Tamandua tetradactyla: one gene and its partner. The protein of the gene in region 1 interacts with the protein of each later gene in a biochemical or structural test. Links are inferred from orthologs where the notes say so. Each region holds a gene or a part of one and is shown on either strand. Other genes may lie near its edges.

Region 1 (7,535 bases):
AAAAACCAGCCAATATGGTTGCTGGTGTCTACTGTCTGAATACCAGCTCCGCATTCTCTCCCTTCTACTGCCCTAGGCTGCAGATGCAACTCCAGCATCCTCACCCCTCCCCCACTGGGGACACACAGTGTTGACTTCCTCAGGGTATGAGCTTTCCTGATCCTCTCACAAAAATATTCAGGAATTTATTCAGGATTCTGTGGAAACGTAACAGAGCCACATCCTTCCACCACCTGAAATTACATGCTGCCTTCCAGAGAGCTGATGCAATAAATGATAAAAAGGTGAAATATAACACTGTATTCCAAACTTCTGTCTCCGGAAGCTCCAGGTCAGCTCTCACTCTTCTCCTCAGGATGTTCTTGTGTTAATGTTAAATGATACCTCAGTTTCCCCAATTGTAAGGTGAGGATACCTAACTAGCAAGGCTGACATGTGGATACAATTTCACGTCGCCATATGTACAGTGACGAGCACTTACCACGCACTTCATAAACGGTTGATCATAGGTTTGTACACTAAGTGGTCAAAGTACTCAGGGCGTTGTGAAGCAAGCTTAGTCAGAGCATGGAATTTCAGAGACCTGTGAGTGGGGATAGGAAAAACCTATGTCTTTTGTTTCACACAACTCACACTTAAATTGAGCATATCCTTCAATTAGGAGTCTACGCAGGAAACCACAGTAATATTAGCTTAGCACTACATGTGAGGGTGTCACCGACAAATATTTTATATCATGTCACATTTGTATCAGATTTCTCAAGTATCATTTATGCTCATCACCTTGAAATTATGAAAACCAGAGGCTCAGAAGACATAGTATTTATAACGGGTACCCTGCCTGCCAGCCTCCATGAAAGATCCACCCCCGGTTTGCACAGCTTGCAAATCCCTGGGTCAGTCCTTCCATCCAGGTCTGCTAACCCAGAAGTAAGCAACACTTTGTTGGCTCAGGCTGAGCAAATGTACTTACTTAGAGAGAGAAAAGGTATTTCCCTGCATAAATTAGTCTACAAGTCCAAGGAGCCTTCCCAGCTTGGAACTGTACATATGAGTGAGGTTTGGACATGCTTTCCAGCTACTCTTCCACAGGACACCTTCTCTGTTTATGGGTAGTCTCTTTATGCAGGCTTCCCTCTGCTGACAAAGGGTAAGGTTAGGAGGGGGTGGGTAGCTGGGGCTGGGGCCTCAACTGAGGGCCCAACATGTGCCTCCTCAGAGATGCTGGCTGGGTCTGGCGTGCCCTGCCGGGGAGTTGTCACTGTACCCTGAAAGGCCCCTCCCTCCAGATCTGTGGGATCAAAGGAGGCTTCCTGGAGGAGGCGACACTTGAGCTGCATCTAAAGGACAGAGAATCCAGGAGGGAGATCCGATCCTTGGAGGCTGGTCTAGACTGAGGCACACTCTGGAGATGTGGTAGGGGCAGGACCTCTGGGGGTGAATTTGGAGACAAGGTGGAATCCTGAGGACCTGCTTCCTCCTCTGTTGTACCCCTCTCTGTGCTCTACTCTTAAGGGGTAGACCATCAGAATCACAAGGCTCGGTGGGTGGAGCAGGACAGTATGTGGGGGCAATAACTGGCTGTTTTTCAGGTGGGAGTGGCACTGCTCAGACCTCCAGGGCCACTGAACTCTCCTTACCAGCATGCTGCCAAAGAAGGGACACGCAAGACAGAAGATAATTCACATGTGGGGGATGAGAACAAGGGAAGCAGGACGGACTGTCTCTCAGGACACCAAGGACCTTCATGTTCCCCTTTGCCACCCACCCACTCACCAGTAGGATGACAGGGCAACTTCTCTCTCTAGCTCCTCCTCCTCCCCTTAATATCTGCCTGGCCACCCACTAAAGTGACTCCATTTCTGCCTCTCTTTACCCCACTGCCGCCTTTTGTGTCGTCCTTCAACCCCTGGTGCATGTTGCATAAATCCTTAATATGTAAACACATCCAAAATTCCATGAGGTCAAAACTTTGCATCTTTTTTCTTTTTTTTCACACTGAAAGTGCTATGAAAACTCCAGAGGAAGACAAATTAATGTGCCAAAGGCCACCTAAATTTCAAGGGATCTCTACTGTGTACAGAGTGATGGAAAATTCCAGCATGGAAAGAATAAGCCTTCCCTCCCTTGTTGGGGCCCTCCAGTTAGAACCATGAGAGTGCCAGCATCTTTTCCACTCAGCTACACAGTGTCTGGCTGACCTGTGGACCAGGTATCTGTGGATTTGAAGTGTACTCGGGCTTTTTGCTGCATTGCCATGATTTTAGAGGTCTTGGTGTTTCTTAGCTAGCAAAGAACAGCCAAATTAAAGCAGCTCTTTTTTTATTTGGGTAAACTGAGACTTAGATGTGAGGAGTAGCTCCTCCAAGGCTATAACACAGCTGGAAATGGTGGGAATAATTATAAAAACACAGTTCTCTGAATTCCCATGCAATCACTCCTGCAATCAAATTTATCAAAGAACGTTGATTCTTACTTGAGCTTCTCAGCTTATATTTGGTGTGGGGGAGAAAATTTAGGGGCATGCTTCTCTCCAAGGTCATGTGAGTCCTGCACTCAGTCAGAAAAATCAAATAGGTTAGTCCTTGTTCCTAAAATCTTTATACATCTTTTGTGGAAAAGAATCTACTTGATGACACTTCTATGCCTTAGAGTTCTAGTTCATCCTATTTCTGAGTTTTAGAGAGAAGAGACATGACTTTCCTAGACACTTTGAATGTAGCATTGAACATTCTTAATAGTCTATTCTTCAGATAGGATAGGAATTGCAACAAGCCCTGGAGATAACAACTCTATGGGGGTTGTGTCTTGGATCCTCTAATTTTGAAAAGGAAGGAAAATTCTCTTGGGCAATCAACTCCTTGAGGACAGAAGTCCTTTTACTTACTGTTTCTCACACCACAACCTTGTGCAGTTGTACAATTAAGGGACTGTTGTACTTTTGTTGAATGCATTGCCATGTATATGATCTGCTTAGTTGGGGTGATCAGGTTAACTAAGTAATAACTTTAAGAGGGCTTGGAAATAGACAATCGATTTCTTTTTCATTGTTGTATGTATAGTTATAGTATATACATATATGCAGGATGGGTGCTGAGAGACTTGTGAAAGTAAAACTCTTTTTACATATAATATGTGTGCCAGTTTGAAAGGATGTCTGTGCCCTAGAAAAGCCATGTTTTAATCCTAATCCCATTTTGTAAAAGCAGCCGTTTCTTCTAATCCCTAATCAGAACTGTATGTTTGAAACTGTAATTAGATCATCTCTCTTGAGATGTGAGTCAATCAAGAGTGGTTGTTAAACTGGATTAGGTGGAGTCTCCATCCGTTCTAGGCTGGTCTTGATTACTTTACTGGAATCCTATAAAAGAGGAAACATTTTGGAGAAAGGAGGAGATTCAGAGAGAACAGAGAAGAATGACAGAGCCATGAGAAAGACACGACAGCGAACGATGAGAGAGAAAGCCAGGAGATACAGAGAGAGCAAAAAAGAAGGACACAGCCACTAGAAGCAGAGAGTCCACCAGCCAGCCACTGTGTTCGCCATGTGCCTTTCCAGATGAGAGAGAAATCCTGATGGTGTTTGCCATGCGCCTTTCCACTTGAGAAAGAAACCTGGAACTTCATTAGCCTTCTTGAATCAAGGTATCTTTCCCTGGATGCCTTAGATTGGACATTTCTATAGACCTGTTTTAATTGGGACATTTTCTCAGCCTTAAAAACTGTTAACTCGCAACTTATTAAATTCCCCCTTTTTAAAAATTTTTATTTTTATTTATTTATTTTTGCATGGGCAGGCACCAGGAATCAAAGCAGGTCTCAAGCATGGCAGGCAAGAATTCTGCCACAAAGCCACCATGGCCCGCCCATAAATTCCCCCTTTTTAAAAGCCATTCCATTTCTGGTATATTGCATTTCCCCAGGGAGCTAACCAGAACACTGACTTAGTGTTCTTCACAGGTTAGTACTATAATTATCATTTTTTTGGTTTGTTTTACAGATGACACAATTAAGGTGCAGGGCAGTTCATTTTTATCTGAGGTCACACAGCTAACAAGTGCCTAACTCAGGTGTATTTGAACCTGAAGCCCATGCTTATGTTTCCTCTCCTTCACACTCCAGGGTAACATCTCTCCTTCTCTACTTACTTCTACAGACTAGATTCTGATAGTTCCCTGAAGGATTCAGGCTTGGGGAGCTAGCTGTCTTCCCAGCAATCACCCACCCCTATCCCACGGAATCTTTTCCCTGGTGATCCTGGGCCTGGAATCAGGTGAGGCCCGAACCTCCATTCCAGGGGCTTTCTCGTTATTCTGTCACCCTTGTTACCTTAAGCAGAGTGAGGGTTTGTCTGCTTTCACGGGACAGCGGCGCCATTCATCACTGCCGGAGGGCAGGATCCAGGGCTAGGGGCCACACGTGGAGAGGGGAGGGGCCAAGGGGCGGCCCTCTTGTGACCAGCCCTGAGGATAAGGCCAGGAGAGGCTGGCTGAGGAGTGGTCGGTCAGCAGCAACTGCTGATGCTCTGTATCACACGCCTGGGGTCCACGGTAATCCAGACCTTTAAACAAATAGCTGGGCTGCGTGTGTGGCGGGGGCGAGGAGAGCGGATTTTTCAGGGGTCGCGCACTTAAAGAAGGGGTGGCTATGGGGTTGGTTAATGCTGGGAGGGCGTGAGAAGGAACCAGGATTACAGGCGGAACCGCAGGAAAGGAGGGCGCTGAAGCAAGAGAGAGGGTGTGAGAGGGAGCAGAAGAGGGAAAGAGCCTAAGAAGACGTAGGAGTGTGGCTGACCGACTCAAAGACAGTGCGCGCCTGTGTGCAGGGACGAAAGGTGGAACACACCGGCCCCAGAAGCATAGTTAAGATAAGAGCAGGGAGAAGCTTTCTTCTCCTGTGCCCATTTTCCAAGTGACTCCCTTTCAGCCATTTTTAAGGTAAAATGTTAACTCAAATGTGAGTGTGTGTGTGTGTGTGATTTCTATTTTTGCATTTTGTTTTTTAGTATATAAGGAAAGAACGTCAGAGGAAGCTGTATGAAAGTGAGGCTGCACGAGGCGCAGAGAACGCAGTTAGAGGGTGACGCCTTTTTAAAAAGAAGTTTCCATGTTTCTCCTCCCAAAAGCTCAGGCTGAGTCCCGCCGCAGGATCTGATCGCCTTTAAACCAGGTAACTTCCTCCGTATCCACCCCAGTTCCCGGAGCCAGTCAGAGTGGAGGGGGTGGAGCCCGCAGCTGCATCGGGCTGAGCTCGAAGGCGGATGGAAGGGGTCCCTGGAGCATAAACTGAGCACCGCGGCCTTGATGCTAGGCATGTCACTCATAGAAGTCCCTGTCTCATTCCAGCTACAATCGCAGCTCGAATCCAGACGTCCATCTCCTTAGGCGGGGCGGTGAGGTGATGGCCCAGATACCAGAAGTTTCCATGTCCTCCGGTTCAGCGGTCCTCCCGAGCTTGGAAGCTGGAGGTGGAGCTTTGCTTGAGGTGGCTGAAAAGGCGGGGGGAATGGAGGAGGAGGCAGTAAGGGTGGCGAAGGCATGTTCTGGCCAGGGAGCTGAGAAGAGCAAGCTGGAATCATTACAAGAGCATAAGCCTGATCCTGACGAGAACTTGACACGGAGCGGTGACGGCGAGGAGAAGGTGCTCTTTACAATCCACCCTCGCTGTCATAGCAGCGCCTCGCCGGTTTGCCCACGCCGCAAGCCCCGCCCTCGGCCCCAGCCCTGGGCACGCTCCCGAGGCCCTTCCAGGCCCTCAGACCCTCCCCCGCCTCCAGTCCGTCCCCTGCTACCGCCCCTCCCCCTGCCTTCGCTCCCGCCCCCACCCTGGCTGGGGCGCAGATCCAGGCGGAGATCACAACCCAGGTCCGTGCCGCAGATATGGCGAGGCTGTTCTGGTGAGCTAGGCAGCTCTGGGGATCGAGATGGCTCAGGGGGCTGGTTGCTGGAGATGGAGTTTGATAAGGGTCCTATAGGATGTTGTCATGTAGAGAGTTTTAAAGTGGTTAAGAACTGGCAGAAGAACCTGCGGTTGATCTACCAGCGTTTCGTTTGGAGCGGGACCCCGGAGACTAGGAAACGTAAAGCAAAGTCGTGCATCTGTCGTGTATGTAGTACCCATATGAACAGGCTCCACTCTTGTCTCTCCTGTGTCTTTTTTGGCTGCTTTGCTGAAAAACATATTCACAAACATGCAGAAACAAAACAGCACAATTTAGCTATCGACCTCTATCATGGAGTTATATATTGCTTTATATGTAAGGATTATGTATATGACAAGGACATAGAACGGATTGCCAAAGATACAAAAGAAAAAAATTTGAAGTTACTAACTTCCACCTCAACAGACGTTTCTCAACAACAGTATATGACATCAGGTGTTAAAGAGAAGCAATCAACCTGTGAGTCAAAGGAACAGGAGCCAAAATTTGTGAAACCCAAGAAAAAGAGGAGAAAAAAGTCAGTTTATACTGTAGGTCTGAGGGGGCTAATCAATCTTGGAAATACCTGCTTTATGAACTGTGTTGTCCAGGCACTTACCCACATTCCTCTATTGAAAGATTTCTTCCTCTCTGACAAGCACAAATGTATAATGACAAGCCCCGGCTTGTGTCTGGTCTGTGAAATGTCTTCACTTTTTCAGGCTATGTACTCTGGGAGCCGAACTCCTCATATTCCCTATAAGTTATTGCACCTGATATGGATTCATGCAGAACATTTAGCAGGGTACAGGCAACAGGATGCCCATGAGTTCCTTATTGCAATATTAGATGTGCTGCATAGACACAGCAAAGATGATAGTGTTGCACAAGAAGCCAATAACCCCAACTGTTGTAACTGTATCATTGACCAAATCTTCACAGGTGGCCTCCAGTCAGACGTCACATGTCAAACCTGCCACAGCATCTCCACTACAATTGACCCATGCTGGGACATCAGTTTGGACTTGCCTGGTTCTTGTGCCACATTCACTTCCCAGAGCCCAGAGAAGGCTGACAGCGCAGTAAGAAGGGATGATCACATACCAGGAATCCCCTCTCTCACAGACTGCCTACAGTGGTTTACAAGACCAGAGCACCTAGGAAGCAGTGCCAAAATCAAATGCAGTAGTTGTCAAAGCTACCAAGAATCTACCAAACAGCTCACAATGAAGAAATTACCTGCTGTGGCCTGTTTTCATCTCAAACGGTTTGAACATGTAGGTAAACAGAGACGAAAGATTAATACTTTTATCTCCTTTCCCTTGGAGCTGGACATGACTCCATTTTTGGCCTCCACTAAAGAGAGCAGAATGAAAGGCCAGCCAGCAACAGACTGTTTGCCCAATGAGAATAAGTATTCCTTGTTTGCAGTGATTAATCACCATGGAACTTTGGAAAGTGGGCACTATACTAGCTTTATCCGGCAACAAAAGGACCAGTGGTTCAGCTGTGATGATGCCATCATCACCAAAGCTACCATTGAAGACTTACTTTACAGTGAAGGATATTTACTGTTCTATCACAAACAGAGCCTAGAGAAAGACTAGTCTCATAA
Region 2 (7,400 bases), on another chromosome or scaffold:
CTTGAAGTTGTGGCTATAATTGCACACAGGTTGCTTCTTACCCCTAATGTTTTCATGTGAGTTTAACAAAATGGTGGCATATTTACAACCTCTTACTGATAGCAAATATTTTAAATACATATACTGTGAGGAAGGAACAATGGCAGGGATTGGAACTAAGGAGCTGTAGAATACATAAGGCTAAGGCTGGTGATCACAGAAATAGCCATACTCTGTAACAAAACCCATCAGCTGCTAAAAGAAGTCAAGATGCCAGAGAAACGAAATCCATGGAGACAAAAGGCAGAAAACAGCAGTAGAAACCAGATATCTGACCACTGATACCATGGTTATTACTTAAAACTCAACTCAAATTCAAAATATGCATGTTGTCTCCCTACTGCAAATTTAAGTATATGAAAAAATAAAAGATTATTCATGTTCATAAGTAATATCAATAATAGAAACTATAATCTATTGTCTGTGGAGGAGGCCTCTGAAAGTAACCTATTTTAATTATTGTGATTTTTTATGGAAAAGATTAGTTTTATTTTTGGATGTTCACTCACATCCTACAAACATCTCTATGTTTATACCTGTATCTCTATTAGACATTTTCCTGAAAAATTGTTCCCCAAATAAAAAGCTCCATGCGTTACCATTTCATCACCATATTAAAAACAGGAGTCTTATTCTTAAAAGGAGAAAACTTTTAATAAAATCATGTGCTTGGAAAAGGCTTTGTCCCTATTATCACCTCCTGGGAAGCCTTATTAGAAGTTGGGCGGGCCCTGAGAACAGCTGTCAGCTCTGCATCATGGGTAAGTCAGGTTTCCTTCCTGTCTCAACCATCCTAGAACGTGGTGAACTGCAGCAGTGGCATAGCCATTGCCCTCGTCTGTCCGACTGTGAACCACACACCCAGAATCACTACTGGTCCAGGGAAGAGTAACCACTCTAGGGAACTTCAAATTCTGTACCCTAAAGGATCCCGTGACAAATTTATTCTTTCTTTTTCAAAGCTTTAAGATGAAAATTACACATTGAATTAAGAGCAGTATCAGGTTAGCCTTCCACAAAATATAACCAATTCTCTGCTCTGATGAGGAACATATAATTGTTCCCTAAATTGTACTTCAACTTGATCAGGAAGTGAGGTGCATGGAAAGCATATGCTAGGTATGGAACAGCAAGATCAGTATTTGATACAAAGTAATTTTATGTCGAATTTCATGCTAACTTATAGCACAATTCTTTCATGGAAAGCCAACAGCAGGTGCAAAAGGTTTATGAAAAATGTATAGAAACAAATTCAATATTGAAAACATTCTACCCATTTCCATTTTTCCAAGAAAATTTGGAAAAGATTAGAGCAATTCATTTTTAGCAGAATACCTCTCCTTCGGCATACGCAGTACGAGGAGCAAAGCTTGAAACCAGGGTATCAAAGTATTTATACAATTAGGCAGTAGGCTATATATTTAATCTAGTACATAGCAAACATACATGTAGATTATTTCATCAATTATATATGTACAAAATCACTACATATTTATACTCCATTGATTTAAATATAGTATATTGAAAATATGTTGTACACTAGCATGAAAACTACTAAAAATAAAGCCTCACCTTTTGATTGAAATAAACCTAAAGCCTAATGAATGTTTTTTGTAAATTGATTCTAAAGGTTTTTTCCAATTCTCTATGAGCTAAGAAACAACCATCACACATATATCAGGTTTACAGCAGCAATTTATTGAGATCACTTTTGTTCTTGCCAGACTAGATTTCAATAATTTCTTAAACATTAAATAAAGGTATTCAGAAAATATTCAACTTGTTTATATATATATATATATATATATATATATATATATATATATATATATAAAACAAATTTTGTTTGAAAAGATTTGTGCATATTTTAAAAATAGCAGAGTTAATCATTTGGGAAAATGATTATAGAGAAACTAATTTCAAGAATGATTAGTTTGGAAATAAGGCAGAATATAAATGAGAATACCTTTCACGTCCATGATTTCAACAATTCCTAAGAATCAATGTGATGGAGACAGATAAACAACACTCATTTTGTAGCCAAGAACAGACTCAGAAAATGTGAACAATATTCATTTATTTAAGAAATATTAATTGAGCATCTACTATGTGGTTAGGTGCTCTGCTATGTGCTGAGGGCATAGAAATGAAGGAGTTAAAGTCTGGCCCAAGATAACTAAACTAGTCCACAGCTGATGTAAGGAAAAAAATGACTTCTACTCAGTTTGTCCCTCCACTTCTTTCTGTACAATTCATTTCATGGTAAAGACAAACACCGAAGGAGCTTAGTAGGGCAGTAGTGGATGGGCACTTGAGAAAGAGAAAACAATATGTGTGACGCTTCTTAAGTTTAAGGGTAGGTTAAGGTGTGTGGTAGAGTTGGAGAGTATTTTTCCCCTGCCTTTCTGACCATAACTCAGGGTAGCTGTAAAAGTTGTAGAAAGGGGAAGAAATTCTGGCAAAAGATAAAGTCTGCAACATGATTCAAAGGCAACTGAATCACACTATATATCATCTAAGAGAAGAAAAAATGACCACTGGTCCTTGCAAAGCAAGGGTGCCAGCATATATACAAGCCTGTCATTGAGCATGACTAAATCGAGAGCTGCCTGTCTTAAAATGATCATTAAGAATGAGTCTAGTTCCGGGGTTGGAAATGAGAACAGATACATAAACACAATGTACAGGAAAGAATATTTACAGTCATTCATGAACCAATAAATAGTATTTACTTCTCAAAATGCCAATGCAAATGTGGGAAATAATTTTCTCATCTATATTCAGGATTTGCGTTCTAATTTGAAATGACCAGACTTTGGCCATACATTTATTTCACTTGAAAGGTTTCATGAGATCAGGTGGGTGCTTACCACATAAATTTTAACATAATAAAGAATCCTGTCATAAGCACGGCAAAAATCGTTAAGTATAATTTATTGAGCACCTACAATGTGCCAACACTGTTGGATAATTTACGTCATTTTTCATACTCTGATATGCTACCTTTCAGTTTTCTTAATTTCTCTATCAACAACTCTTGTTCATTTATAACTATATTTACTGAAACACATCTTAGCTCCATGCATTCCACAAAGTTGGTTTCAAATACAACTTCAAGTATTCCCTCACTTGAAATGAGGGAGGGGGCAGAAGGGGAAATCTAAATCCTGCTGATTACTTAAAGACTTACTTTCTTGGTACGGGTGGTATTATCTATATTGCTTCTTCAGAAATCCCCAACTTGTACAAAGTCAAGGACTTAAGATAAGATCAGCATTCTATCAGTCTCAGAGACCACATTTGTCAGCCTTTGTTTCTTGCCTTAACGTCCTAAACATGGATAACTGCCCCTTAAGGTAGTAAATCACTGCAGGTTAATACCTTAACTCTAAGCCTTGACCCCTACAATCCGGTCGGTCTACCCTGAGAAGAGAGCAGGGAGGAGAGCTGAGGGCGGAGAGCAGGGCGGGGGCGGCCGAGGTGACAGCAGGTGAGAGCCCGGTGCGGATGGGGAAGTGAGACAGGGCCAGCGCGGCTATTACTCATTCCGTCCTAGAGCCGCGGGTGCTTACAAGCGGAACTTCTCGCCTCTCTTTCGGTCCAGATGAAGTTCAATCACACAGCAGTCACTTCCCATCGCGGTGGGCCTGGGGGAAAACCGTGCGCGTGCGTCAGGCCTGCGGGAGGCAGGTAGCCTCCCGCCACCCCCACCCCGTGACGCCGCGTGTCCCCAGGGCCGCCGCCCAGCTTCCCGGGTCGGTGCCCCTCCACCTCGCGAGCCGTGGGAACACGCCGCGCGGCTCTCTCCCCGATCCGGGGTGCGCAAGGCGGCCGAGCGAGCCGCCCGGGCCTGACTCCAGGAAGAGCGAGGGCAGGTTGCTCAGCCTGGCCGAGGGGCGGCTCTGCGGGCGCGGAGTCCGGAGCTCTAAGAGCCAGACGCGTACGTGCCCCCGGCGGCCGCGGCGGGTGTGGCCAGCCCGAGGCAGAGAGCCACGGAGCCTCCTACCTTTCCCGCTCTGACAGCCGGCCACCCCCCACCCCTTCCGATCCCGACCCCGCCATTTCCCCGGCGCCCGCGTCCCACTCTCCCCGTCCCACGACACCTGAGGAAAACTTTTCCCTCTTCCCTCGATTCAAACTCCGCAGAGTCTACGGTTGCCGCAAACCGCCCTCTCCCTAGCAACAAGGTTCCGGCCGTAGAGCGAGCGCCTCTAGGTGTAAGGAAGGTGATGTCGTAAAGCCGCGAGTGTCGTAAACCAGGTGCGGTGGGGAGGGGGAGGGGTGGAGGCGGAGGGGTGGGGGGGAAGGGGGAGGGAGGGAGGGGGAGGAGGTGACTCGAGCATTTAGACACAAGCGAGAGGATCATGGCGGATGGCCCCAGGTGTAAGCGCAGAAAGCAGGCGAACCCGCGGCGCAATAACGGTGAGTGGCGGAGGGGACCGGGGAGCGGCGGAGTCAGGGGGAGCCGGGCAGCCGGGGCGCCCCTGGGGGTGAGGGGGGCGAGCCGGGCCGGGGGCTGCCGGGGCAGGGACGGGCCAAGTGGAGTGGGAAAGTAGAAAGTAGTGCTGTCTGCCCCCCTCGGCCGCCGCCGCCGCTGCCGAGCCGCGCCGCGGCTGCTAGCTCTCCCTGAACCGTTATGTCTCTTACCTGGCCTCTCCGCCTAGCGGCTCCCGCCGCCCTGCTGCTCCCTGGACCGTTAGCCGCCGCGCCGCATCCCCGGCGCCGGGAGGCCGGCGGGCACTTTTCGGTCCCGGGGGGAGCGGCTGTTGCTTCTTTCCGCACTTTTCCCCACTCTTTTCCCCCCACCCTCGCGCCCCTCTCGTCCCCTCCCCCGGGGCCCCTCCGCCTTATTCCCCCTCAGCGCCGAGGCCCCGGCGCCCAGGGCAAACTTGTCCCCGCGCCTCCCTGGGAGCGCGGCCCGGGCAGTCGCTCGGGCCCCCGGCGCGCGGGCGGGACGGGGCGGCCCGCGGGGTGCGTGTCCGGGGGCGCGCGTGTGTGTGTGCGCCGGCGCCGGGGGTGCGCGCCGCGGGCGGACGGGCTCGGGCGGCGGCGGCAAAGTTGTGACCCGGGGCGCGGCGCGCTCGCGGGGTCGGCCCCGGCGCGGAAGGCGCGGGGCCCTGGGCGCCCACCTCCCCCTACCCCCACCTCCCCGCGCGCGAGCCGAGCCCCGAGACGCGTTCACTCCGTGGGGAGGGCCGCTGGGCAGGGACGGGCACCTACTTGCTGCTGCCTGGGAAATCTCGGGAGGGCGGCTGGCGCGGCGCCCGGGGGTGTTGGCGGAGTTATGCCCTGGTCCTAGAGACGGGGGAGCGGTGCGGACAGCTCCCCCTCCCTGGGGGCACGCGCTCTCGGCGCAGGGACGGGGTTCGGTGCGGGCGCTTCTCTTTTTTCTCTTTCGGTTTTTGGGGAAGTTGTTACCTGGGCCGGACGCGCGGAGCGCTGAAGCCGGATAATAGAGCTTGGCCGGCGCTCTCGGTCTCGGGTGGAGAAGAGGAGTGGGGGAGGGGCAGACGGACCGACGGACAGACGTCTCCGTAGCTCTCGCAGCCGCAGTGTTTATTGATTTGTGTTGATTTGCCGGGGCAACACACACGCACACGCATACACACATACACACACACCGGCCTGGCGTGAGAGTTAAAAAGAGAGCGCGAGAGCCCCGTACGTATGCTTTTGGGTGTACAGTCGCGTTTTCCAGTTTGGAGCGACGTTGCAAGTTGATTGCGTCCCTGCTCATCTCGGCCGTGGCGGTGGCCTTTCTCTCGCTCTTCTCCAGCAGCCCGAGGTCCGCTGGGTTTTATTGTCTGGAGAGTTGATCCGGCGAGCGGGGCGAGACTGGGGCGCGGGGGCGGCGGGCGCGCCGGGGCGAGGTGCCCCCGCGCGTCCCCGCGCGGTACCTGTTTGTATAATAATGGGCGGTAACGGCCCGCGGGCCCTGCCTGCTGCCGCCGGCCCAGGCTATATAAGGAATTTCACGGGTGGCTTGGGCCGGGGGGCTTACCCCGGGGCCTGCTTGGGTTTGAAAACGAGTTTGTAGGAGTGGGGAAATACGTACGCGCCGGGTGAAATCGCCGCGTCGTGCAGAAAATAAGGAAATGTGTGTTTCAGGGAAAACTCGCGCGCGCCGTCCCCCGCCCCCCGCGCCTGCTCTCTTTCTCCCTCCCCTCCGGGATGCGAAACGCAAGGTTTTGTAACCTTTCCTGGCAATTTTAGATTTTGTGTGGGATTTCCTGTCTGGAGGCAGCTACGAAGATTTTAAGCTGTGCCAAGATGTTTCCTTCCAATCGTAAACGTATTTTTAATATATTTGAGCCTACATTAAAATCACTGCTTTAAGGAATGATTTTAGATATTTGAATAAACACTGGCATTTTAAATACATCTGTTAGTTGTGATTGAAAGGTGTGTTTCGTGTCCTCATTGTAGAGCGATGACTTGTTACAGCACGGAGCGGTGCATAGGCTATTGCAATTTTAATTTCCTGTTTTAGCGTCAAATAGTGCGCGTTCTATATTGAGCTGTTGCCGCCGTTGCTGATGTGGCTTTATGAAAGGTAAGTTGGCTTGGAAAGTGCTGTTCGTTTTTTACCTTATTTAAAATGTTGATCGTCAAAGAAAGGGGCTTTTCTTGGTGCTGACGACATGTGTGTGACATGCGAGTCTGAACCACCCCGCGTTTGTGCAGCTGCTGTAAACATGTTTACCTGAACAGCATAGAATGGATTTTTCTCCTAAAGATCCCGTGATAGGAATATTACACTCGTAAGGCATATCAACAGATGACTTACGGGGGAAAAAAGCGATCCTGAAAGGGACTTGAAATCTACAGGAAAAAGAGGCTCTTGATCGCTGCAGCAAATGGCAACTTGTGCAGGTAGAAAAAAGATGGTGTTTAGTTTTCTCCTGCTTGTATGTCAGCCCCCTCCTGTCTGCTGCTTTCATTCTCAAGGGAGGGATTTATTTACCACGCTTGCTGTCAGTGTTTTTCCTTTGTGTTTAGTATTAGAAAAACAGATTTGGGGCTCTTTAGCACAAAACGTCTTGTCTGTGGTATGCATTACTCCCAGAAAACAAAAGGTGTTTAAGATAGTACCGTACCAGTACAGGTATCTTCCATTTTCATCACTTTTGGCTCTGTCCTTGTATTTCTTTTTGTTCTCAAATGCATCTTATCCACCGCTGATGATTATAGCCATGTTATTTGATTTAACCTTTTATTTTGCAAATGAAAAATGAAGTTATATGCCATTGTGTTGTGAAACCTCAGGATAAGTACTGGTTAATATTTATTAGCAACGCAGTCATGTTTAAGTTGCAGATGTTTATTGGAGAGAATCGCCTAGAAAAAAAAATGTTAACCCT

Evidence for each region. The genes of interacting proteins can lie anywhere in the genome.
Region 2: the proteins of USP51 (region 1) and ZEB1 form a complex in vitro, tested with the Homo sapiens proteins (2 studies listed by BioGRID). The link is inferred for Tamandua tetradactyla from reciprocal best matches to the Homo sapiens genes USP51 and ZEB1.

What each region holds. Positions count from the first base shown.
Region 1 is NC_135353.1:113,253,541-113,261,075, reverse strand, and holds the start of USP51 (ubiquitin carboxyl-terminal hydrolase 51), read left to right. Parts: upstream 1-4,447; 5' UTR 4,448-4,550; intron 4,551-5,005; 5' UTR 5,006-5,169; intron 5,170-5,345; 5' UTR 5,346-5,400; coding exon 5,401-7,527; 3' UTR 7,528-7,535.
Region 2 is NC_135327.1:219,860,534-219,867,933, reverse strand, and holds the start of ZEB1 (zinc finger E-box-binding homeobox 1), read left to right. Parts: upstream 1-4,357; 5' UTR 4,358-4,403; coding exon 4,404-4,461; intron 4,462-5,950; exon of another isoform or gene 5,951-6,585; coding exon of another isoform or gene 6,586-6,592; intron 6,593-7,400. UniProt on the Homo sapiens protein: Acts as a transcriptional repressor. Inhibits interleukin-2 (IL-2) gene expression. Enhances or represses the promoter activity of the ATP1A1 gene depending on the quantity of cDNA and on the cell type.